Drosophila melanogaster: one gene and its partners. The protein of the gene in region 2 interacts with the protein of the main gene of each other region in a pairwise test. Each region holds a gene or a part of one and is shown on either strand. Other genes may lie near its edges.

What was found.
Region 1: the proteins of Dsk (region 2) and Ptr interact in a two-hybrid assay, tested with the Drosophila melanogaster proteins (one large-scale study listed by BioGRID).
Region 3: the proteins of Dsk (region 2) and CG8507 interact in a two-hybrid assay, tested with the Drosophila melanogaster proteins (one large-scale study listed by BioGRID).

What each region holds. Positions count from the first base shown.
Region 1 is NT_033778.4:6,194,609-6,198,369, reverse strand, and holds the start of Ptr (Patched-related), read left to right. Parts: upstream 1-2,049; 5' UTR 2,050-2,718; intron 2,719-3,761. Other genes in the region: CG30432 (uncharacterized protein), read left to right, coding at 151-552.
Region 2 is NT_033777.3:4,189,149-4,192,378, forward strand, and holds Dsk (drosulfakinin), read right to left. Parts: upstream 1,113-3,230; 5' UTR 1,086-1,112; coding exon 660-1,085; 3' UTR 544-659; downstream 1-543.
Region 3 is NT_033777.3:9,789,489-9,793,249, reverse strand, and holds CG8507 (uncharacterized protein), read right to left. Parts: upstream 1,768-3,761; 5' UTR 1,681-1,767; coding exon 1,459-1,680; intron 1,405-1,458; coding exon 1,189-1,404; intron 1,127-1,188; coding exon 916-1,126; intron 855-915; coding exon 493-854; intron 438-492; coding exon 309-437; 3' UTR 152-308; downstream 1-151. Other genes in the region: CG12945 (uncharacterized protein), read left to right, coding at 2,160-2,411, 2,479-2,724, 2,790-2,930, 2,985-3,112, 3,166-3,296, 3,369-3,761.

The DNA of each region.
Region 1 (3,761 bases), on a different chromosome or scaffold from region 2:
CGAAGATCACGAAGATATATAGTTTATATGCCTGTTACAAACTTTTCAACGAATCTAGTACACTTTACTCTACGAGTAACGGGTATAATCAGTCAGTTATTAGAAACCTGTCAAATCAGTGAACAAATCTTTTTCTCTAGTATCGCCGGCATGGAAGGCCGCAAAGAATTTCTGAATATTTTGTTGGTCATACAAATCATCTACATTGTGCCGGTTGGGATTATATGTTTGGTGATCGTGGCGTTTCAGGTGACGGGCTATCGTCTCAATGACTTTGTACTTTTCTCCTATATGAACTACATAGAGCAACAAGCCCGTTCGTACACTCCGGAATCTTGGGATAAAGGACTCAACATAATAGTGTGGATCCACGTCGTCATCCTATACGTGGTATTTCGAAAGAGGGAGTGTTTGAGGGTGCAGACTCTAGAGGACACTCGGCGCCAGTTTGAGATCGAAGATCTTTTTCGGATGGAGACTGAGTTCATGGAGCAGCTACGATCCCAAGGCATCGAACTGGAGGATTCCACATTGGATTCGAGCTGCGTATAAGCGTCTTGGCGGCGCATTCAGGAGCCAATCAAATATCTCGTTAATGCCGCCGCCTTGGACAATGTTAATGCTGTATTCATCGTATGAGCGTATATATAGATCGCTCGCTTGATTGCCCAGAATTGAATTCAACATTTGTCCGCCGTGCGCTACACCTACACTGCTCAATTACCAGGCCGATCCAATATAATCCTCCTCGCCCGAGTTGAACGTGCTCGGCTGGCATTACTACACACAGCTTTTATACTATATGTACACATATGTATTATCGCACTGTGAGATAGTTCATTGTTTGGTTCTGCGCATGAGTATATTTTTATCGCGCACTGTGCCCCTTTCTTTCCACCACTTGTGTGCACTTTTTACTGTTTGAAATAAATTGTAAATGATTTTTATTAAAATTTCCGCTTAAATTTTCAGCGGTAATACTGCGCTCTATTTGTATCGCTTCTATTTTTTTGTGATTTAAAAATTTCTTGCGGAAAACAAGTTTGCCGCGCTAATAAAATTATTTTTATGGCGCATAGTTTCGCGATCTTCTCATATCCCTGTACATGGCACAGATCACTAAATCTTTTATAAAACCTCACTCAGCATTTTGTGGTGATGTCACAGGCCCTTTCTCAACAAAAGGCCAACTATTTAAGTTCGGAAATACCGAATTTCCCTCTATATACTTTTATATATAATAATATATTATAAATATTACATTGTATATTGGGATCCCTGATGCCGAAATAATAACGGAATTCGTTGAGGTAAATGAATGGCTTCTTAAATTTTGTGTAGTTCGGATAGAAATGCTTAAGGCACACTTCGCCTCACGACAGTTGTCCACGTGTCTTTAACTTAAGAGAAAGGCCCTGCCTGGAAAGTTTACAACCATTTTTGATTTTGATAAGTGACGACTTAAAATATTATTTCAAGGAGTCAGCACTACTCTGCAAGTGTTTCCAGAACGCGATCATGGCAAATTGTTTGCTTGATTTATGATGATCACTCTGCGGACTTACTCAGAAATTTTCACGTGAAAATTAAACCAAATGCATTTTAAATAAAAGGCCAACCATGCACCGTACACGGAAAAATCGTATCGTAAAATCGTCCCGTGTAAATTCACCATTTGTATTTCCGACCATGATGCACAGAAGCGCACTTCCAACGAAACGCATGTCCATCTGTTTTAGGGTCGCCCTCGTCCGTAGTCGGGCCGAAATTCACCTGAACTCGCGGTGCTAATTTCCATAAAACTTTGCGCAGCCGCAGAAGAAAGTGGCGATTAATGAGCGAAAATGCGACCTTCAGACTGCAGCGGCGCACTGGTGGATGGAAACAGGTATACAAGGCAAAGGAGCGGCACAGATTTTCCCAAAAGTCCCGCCATCCGGTGCACTCACCTGAGAGAGCGTGATATATACATATGTATATATAGAGACAGGGAGAGCGAGATAGAAATTGAGAAAGAAAATCGGGGAGATCGAGCGCTTTGCTACAGGTGAGAGCTGAGCTATAAGCCGAGCGCGGCGAGAGCGCCGAGCCTAACGTAAGACCTCATTCGTTACCGTTACGTGGTGCGAGGCGGTCATGTGCGCGGAACTTGTGTCTCACCTTTCCAGGAACTAGTAAGAGTATTCCAGCTAGAATTTAAATCAAAGTTAATTTGTCAGTGGACAAAAGACGTCGGAAATAACGCCGGACTGACCCATCGGTACGTTAACGGTCACTGAATTCGAATTCGCTATACCGCTACGTAAGTCGCAACGCAAGACGCGATCTGTGCAGCGAGATCTGAAGTCTGAGTGGGTTCTCTCAGTTCGTGATACGGTCTCAAAGTCAGCGGTTGCCGGTCGCTCCGCCATCGCCATCGCCATCGCATCCGTTTCTTTTCTTTTCGATCCGTGCCCGCCAGGGGAAATAATTCGAAATACGATGGCCGAAGGCAGTGCAAACAGTGTGCAATCTTTAATAAATCACTAAGAAATTCTGTGAAAGGGGAATCGGAATCACGCAGAGCCGAGTGCAATTGAAAGGCTCGCGTGTAAGTTGTAGGTCCATTGAAACGGTTGCAGAAGTCCACACACCATATACACCTGTAACACACCTGTCGCACACAAATCTTGGATACAAAGTGAAGAAACTCTACACTCTACATTTCGGCGATACAAGGTATGTCTGAAGATATTTACGCCTCGAACATTCCTTTCGGTATCAGTGCAGTTAATAGATGCGCAGATTTTTCTCGGGGTTGGTGGCGTTCAGGGGATGAAACCAGGCTTGATACGTTTCGGTTATTATTCTGGAAAGTGCGTAGTTCGAGAAAAATACGCAGAGATTATGGTTATTTCCTTAGTCTTCATTAAGAAACAATTAAAAAATATATACCCGCCCAAAATCTCAACCTTTATTTAATTCAGTATCATTGATGTAAAGTGCTTTATAGCATGCGATCTACAACTATTACTATTAACTTTCGGTTCTCATTTAAAAAGGAGCTACCCGTGATTATCCCATTGTAATGTTGATTACATTATTTTGCAACAAAAGATGGTGTTTTCCGAATTTTGTATGTGCTCACATTATGAGTTTCAATAGAAGTAAAGTGGGCTCGGTAACTAATCGCTTTGTTGATGGAAAACAGTTCATTAGTGTCAGAAGCAAGCTGGAAGCAAGCGGTGTTCTCAAAAACTTCATGGACAATTTAAGCTTTATTTCGTTGAACAATTACAATCGCTGTTGGGGAACAAAATTTAAGTGTACACGTTGGTCTCTATTAGCATCAGCAATAAAATCTTATTGACGTTTTTTCCAAACAGCAAGTGCAATTGCAACAATAATTTGCCACTGCGGCCCAAGTCCAACTCGCTGGCTCTTTCATTTGCAATCGGCTGTCGAGAAAGAAACTCAAAACTTTTGACAGGCAAATTAATGAAACTCGAATTGAGAGCGGCTACGATTACAGCGTGCAATTAAAGCAACACACACCTGAGCAACAGAAAGTGGGGCGCGGATCGAAAATCCCCGATCAAAATAATCTGGAAAACGGCCAAGAAATATATATATATATATATATATATATATATATATATATATATTCATATACATATGTGTATGGAAATATCGTCATAAGGTGTTTGCATTTTCGTATTCGGATGCAACGCGAAAGCAAGAGTGATTACATAAACTGAACTTTGGTGATCCGGTTTGTCGGA
Region 2 (3,230 bases):
TGCTATTTCATTGAACACCAGAATTTCTGCCTATTATGTTGTTTTATTCTATATTTTCGAAACTATTGAAGAAATAAAAGTGAAACATTTGTTAAATTGTTTGAAATTAAATACCTAATGATATTATAAAAAAAAATTTCCCATTAAAACTGTAAATCATAGGAAATTTTTATCTTAAACTCTCAAGTCCAAAGCACTGCTATTTTTCTGAACACAGCTGTATATAAATGGGCCTAAGGGAAACATACATCAACGACAATAATTCTTGTTAAGTAAATCCGATGCGTCTTTAAAAGGTATTCACAATTCGAAAGTCGGAGAACCTTTCAAATGCTTTCGTCACAAATAATTAAATAAAACTTTTTATATATTGAAGGTGCAGCCCTTTTTTTATATACCGGATAAATGGAGGCTTTTTACCGCGGTGATAAATTCTGCTAGGAATCAATACACCTATATGCAAGGGACTAAAAATCCTTTTTTCAATGAATCCATCATAGCTTACTCTAAGAATTCGGCTATAATACGAAATATTAAATTTTTGAATGCGAACATTTATTACTTTTTATATACTTGTTAATATAAAATGTGTGCTCGATTAATTTCTATGTACAATATACATAATCGGTTTTCTAAATGACTAAACTGATGGCAAGTGTTTATCGGCCGAAACGCATGTGACCGTAGTCATCGAACTGATCATCACCTCCCCTTTTACCAAACCTCATATGGCCGTAATCATCAAACCGCTTAGCTTTCGTTCTTTCGTCATCATTATCCATGAGGAGATCCAGCTCAATTGGTATTATTGGGCGTGAAATTAGTGGCACTCTGCGACCGAAGCTCATTGTTTTCTGATTACGCCTGTCCCCGAATAGAGAGAATGATGGTCCAACTAAATTCGCAATGGGCTGATCGATTTCCCCACCAATTTTTGACTCCAATTCCTGTAGTCGCCGATCATCCTTAGCGTTCTGTAGACTAGTCGTCTGCGCTGGGATCGGCAGCACCACCAGGAAGCAGAAGGCTAATGCCCAGAGTGGCATAAACAGCGTGGCGAAGTGCGTACAGCTTCTAGGTCCCATGCTTTACTGTGCCCTTGGCAGACTGGTGAACATCTAAGTTGGCGCTTCCTTTTTATACGATTGCGTTTGTGGCCATCTTTCTCGCCTGTTTAATATTCCGTTACCGCGGCTGTCAAGTGTTTAGAGGTGTTGAGATAACAGAAATTGACTTTGACTTGTGATTGACTTGATTGATTAAACTAACTTTGATGCTGTCCTGACAATAATTGAATTCGACGGCATGCCTAAAAGAATTAAGTATGATGAGTAACCGTCTGTATTAGGGCGCTGGGCGAGTATACTCTAGTGGTTTTCTGAAACATTCTTCAGCATAATATCAGGGGGCTAGTAGCTGTGCCAGACAAACAATTTTAAATAAAAAGCGCATATCCATGGTTAAATTTAATATTCGGAAATACATTCTGATTCAAATTTTTATAAATTTGCCAGCAAAGAAGTGTGAGCTAGTGTGAGACTTACAGATATGTTCAGAAGATATTTCTTTTTAAATTTTAAAAGCTGTTGCGAATAGAATATACTATTGTCTTTGGTTAAACTGAGCTGTGAACCATTGTATATGGGCATGAGGTTGACAGTGCTGATCTGAACCAAATCCAAATGCGAAATTCAAAAGGGAGGTTTTTTAACGGATATGCCTATGATTCCAACTGATATTAACACGATACCCATCAGCAAAGCCCAAACAAGCATTTCTTGTTTGTAATGTGAATTTGAAAATCATGTATATTACATGGGCATTACCATTGGACATGTAGACTCTTGTGACCCCTACACACCCGCATGCTGACCAAAACTGCAATGGCTACACATTTGAAAGGCTAGTATACCCTATAAAGTATGTAAAATGCCGAAGGCCTTTTCCGACCATTTGAAGTATATATTTTTTGATCAGGATCAATAGCCGAGTCGATCTGACCCTGTCCGTCCGATTGCTCCGAAACTTTCGTCATGAAATTTAAGTAAAAGCCTATCGATTATAGTTATTTTCTTTTCTCATTACTTATTCGATGAACCCATTAATCGATAGCTTTTACCACATTTTGTCGACTTGTTACTTCGAGGTCGACAAAGTCTTCAACCGGCAGTTCTCACTTGGGAGCGGTATCGTTCGTTCAAAAAACAAAACAGTGTGACGGTGAGACCGACCATTAGATTTCAATAAGACAAACAACGCGTTTTTATGGTCGGAATACATACCTTATTTGTGCTTATATTGTTTATCCCCAATAACTTTGCGAAAACCATTCTTGTCGAAGAGCTTACAAAATGGACATTGAGAAATAAGACCTCCTATAAGTGCCGGGTAATTTATCTGAAGATTCTGCTTATGATACCCGTTGCCTACATTCTGAACGTATTCGTTAATGATATTAAGTTAAGCTTATCAATGCTTATCTACGTTCCAAGAACTGTTAGAATCTGATTTAGTAGAAACCTATGAAAAAAGAGTTAATAGAAGTTAAAAAAGTTAATAGAAAAGAGTCGTCTCTACTGATTGCACATCTGTCGCACTTCAGTTATTTGAGTAAGCGGTATCTAATAGTCGCGGCACTCTACGGAAGTACATACATATATATACACTAGTGGGCATAAGTATTTGGACAAGAAATATTTTCAATATATTTGTTTGTAACTTATTGTTTACTTAAAGCAAAATTGTTTAATAATTTTAGTAAATAGGTAGGCTATCGTAGTTAAATGTAGAGGTAACATAAACATATGGATAACTTCATTGTTGATTTAACAAAAATCACTTTCTTACAAATTAGCAATGGCATAAGTATTTGGGCAAATTATTTAAATTTTATAAATTGAAAAAAAATTATGACAAATTAATAAAAAAATATACCCTCCCTTAGCGTCACCTTTTGCAGACGTTTTGGTACAGACTGTACCAAGCTGTGGATATAATCTATTGAAATATAAGGTTTGAATTTCCAAAATCGTTTCTTCGCGACTTCTAGATAAGTTTGCACTCCTTTTTCTTTTTAAATATGACCAGAGGTTTTCTATTATGTTGAGGTCTGGACTTTGACGTGGCCAATCCAATGTGTTTACGCCAACATCTTTCAGTAACTTCGTAATCAGTTTGGCCTTATGCCAGGGAGCAATATCCTGCTGGTGTATGAAGGACTCTCCAATCAA
Region 3 (3,761 bases), 5.6 Mb from region 2:
TTGTGCCTGCTATCATATGGTCACACTAATTTTATCGTTTTTTTTAACGGTTTATTCTTAACCCTATATTGTACTTTGAATATATTACAAATTTATTTTTTCCACATTGAATTTTTTAAAGGTCAAAATAGATTGTATATAGTTCAAAATTAAACTTGAGATTTTATTTATGTTCAAATGATATTTGGTATCAAAATTATATCTATGCTGAATAGCAGCAAGAATGAATATTTTTGTGCGTTACACAAACAGTTGCAATTAAATCTAATTTATTCGCTTGGCACTTTCAGTGTTTCACTTTCAAATTATTAAAGCTCGGTGTGCTTGAAGATGGTTTTTTCAATGTTCTCCTGGAGCTTCTCCACTTTGCGAGTTTGCTTCTTCAGCTGATCCTCCATTTCCTCAAAGCGGCTGCTTTTGTCCTTCACTTTTTCGCCCTATAAATAATTGTTAGTTGGCTTACAAACTTGATTGATATTAAGAAACATATACCTTGTATTTCTCCTTTTGCAAAGCATGCTCGGCATGCAAGTGACGCAGCTTTAATAGGCGACTTTCGAAGTGATGCAATTCGGTTTTAATGGACTCCAGTTCTTTAACCGTAAAATTGCTAGCCTGGGCCACTCGCCATAGACCCTGGACCTTGGGTTCAATGAAGTCCTGACTGTGTGGACCGGAGGACACCAGGCGTTCCAGCCTATCGTAGTGATCCTTGATGCCCGTGTGATGTCCTCGCAGAGTGTTAAGGTCGTTCTCGAAACTCTTCACGTTTTGCGCATGGGTTTTGATGTCGTTCTCATTGACATCATTCGAAATCAGATTGTAGGTGTCCAAGTCTTCCGTGTTAATAGCATCTAACGAGAATAATCAATGAAATTAATTGATGCTTTTCGTGCTGTTTTTAGCCAAACTCACTTTCATGCTTGTCGGTGTCTACGGTGCCAATGTTTTCCAGCAAGCTGTAGTACACATCCACTTTATCCTGGTGATGGTCAAACTCCTGTTTCAAGGATTTCAATTCCTCTGCAGTAAATCCGGAAATCTCGGCCTTCTCCCAAAGTCGGTTGAGTTTCTTGTCCTTGAAAAGACTCTTGTTTCTGTGTCGCTCCTCGGCGTCGTGGAATTTCTTAAAGTTAACTTGGATGTAGAGAAACTCTTGCTCTTAGGAAAGATGATTTAGATACGTACCTTGTAGGGCTTAAGCTTCTCCGTATCCTGAGTGTCGTCAAAATGCTCTAGCAGATCGTAGCTGCTCATGATGCCAATGAGCTTGCGGCGCAGTTCGTCGGCCTTCAGCCCGTCTTTGTCCTTGTGCTGCGAGTTGAGCTGCTTCCAAGCGATCTCCTCCTTATCGTGGATCTTGAGTTCCATGTACAGTGACTTGAGCTTGGGCTCTGTTAAGCGCTGTAACCGAGGTTAGTACGGTTAAATATGAGATATCTTATGGTGTCCACTTACATTCTGCGCCTTGGCCCACACGAGATTCAACTTGGCCATGCGAAATGGCCGCTGGATGCTCTTAAAATCCGGATCATACTTCTCCTGCTTTACTTGCTGAAAATGCGGGTCGTTGGCCTCCTTGCTGTACTTCTTGCTCTGCTTTTTGTCGGCATCCACGCCCTGCAGTGCAATAAGTACGGAAAGTGCGATGGCTGCAACAACGAGAGCTGACCTAACCATTTTCCTCGTGGTTTTTATTTCGGTTTTAAAGCTTGCAATTATTGGTGCAGTGCTGACCTGGCTAAACAGTTATTCACAACACGCAGTGTGGCCATCTAGCGATCGCATAAAGCTTTGGTGCTGACAGTCTAGCTTTTATTTTATTTTAATGCTTTGTTTTTCGCAGTTACGATTTTTGATCTTGGTCAATTTACAACAATTTGTTTGATTTATTTGATAAAGATGTTTAATAAAAATAATTCAATTTGCAGTAGAAGTGAAGAAAAATCATAAAAGCATGTTTGTCTAATAAATATAAAGCTACATTTTCCTGAAGTGATAAGTAGATATTGCAGCACTGACGTGACGCTGTGATGTTGCTAACTGGACTTGGTCACACTGCCAATTTGCATCAGCCGCCTTACCACGAAATTGCGCTGAATTATAATTATTATCGAGTGCTTACTACCTAGGAGTGATTACATTGAGAAACCAGGACAATGAGAACGGAGGCAGCGGTCAGTTGTTTCCTGTTGGTATTGCACAGGGTATGCTGTCAGAGCGGCAACGATGAGTCCTGGCTGAGTCCGGATCCCGCCTGGTCGGACCTGGTTAACGATATCAATCAGCCCGGTGAATTGTGCCAGTGTCCTACGTGTCCAGATGTGTCTCCAGTGGCCATGGAGGATGCCGTGGCACTCACATACTTCAAGAAGTTCGTCAATCTGCTGTTCCAGCGCAAGCGTTTTCAGGTATGATCGCTGTTTAGACCAAAGTTGGCGACATGACGTCATATGTGTGTAACTTTTGTGTAATTAGTACGATGTTATGTCGGCGGTCCATAAGCGATCGCTGCTCTTCTCCCTGATCCCATCGCAACTGGATGAACTGGAGAGGGTGCAGGATGCTCGGGATTTGGACGTTTTGCTGACTAAGATATTGGAGAGTGCCGAGGAGGCTCCTTTGTTTAATGGAAGATCCGGATGCTCATACGTCCGACACGGCTTTTTCTCCTTATTGGTGGATATTTTCAAGGATGTAATTGAACTGACGCAAACGACCGAGGTACCTGTTGCGCCTTTTTATGGAAACTTGACTATTTGCTATTTAATGGGTTTTCTCATTCCTAGGTGAAATTTATCCTATATGCAACATTAGCAATTGCACTTGTCGTCATTGTGCACAAACGTTTCCGTGTCGGACTAATTTCAATTGTACTAGGAGGCGTGTTTCTGTGCGGATATATTCAGACTTATTTAGAATGCAACAGAGTAGGTCTAGCCTGAAAGTGTGTGAAATTGTGCTCATTATATGTTTATAATTAGGAATTAGACATCGATAGGATGATAGAGGTCGTAAATCATCACCATGAGCCTGAATCGTCCTGGTTTGGTCGACTGTTAGGCTACATATACCAAGCCTCACCAAAAACTAAGAAGATAGAAATGATCAAGTAAGACCATAACATATAATTAAATAAGTCGATTGATGATCGTTTCCATTCAGAAAATCCGCAAAAATCAGCATTTCCATTTGCATGCCAGATCAAGTGTTCTTTATGTACATGAATAACATATTTATCAAGCAGTTGGAAATCATGATAGAAAAGGTGTCGGTAACTATGACTAAACTGTCCTGTAAGTATTTAACCAAGAATTCGCACAGTCAATAATTACCACTTACCACTTAATTACCATATTTACCCATAGCCGGATTATCCTTCCCGTATAACCTCCTTGCACCAGTCCTTTTGGTGTTTTTAGTGGGTTACACCATAAAGCTGTGCTTTAAATACATTTTAAGCCCCCGAGCATGGGCGTCACTTTTACACAAGCCAGCGCCACAAGGGACACCAACGATTCACCAGTCCATTAATGCACGGGCGCCCGAAGGCGACTCCATATCGGGCGACAACTTAAAGATGCTGCTAAATGTAATTAACGTGAGAAATGTTCCAAAGGAGTCGCTACAGCGAATTCCAGACGTTTCGGGCGTCCAAGAGCTAGAGGAAAAGCAGGAAGCTCCCACCACACCATCGAAAAAAGAAAATTTAGATGAAAGCGATTCCAGCAGCAAAAGCAAGAGCAAAAGCTGTGTAGCTG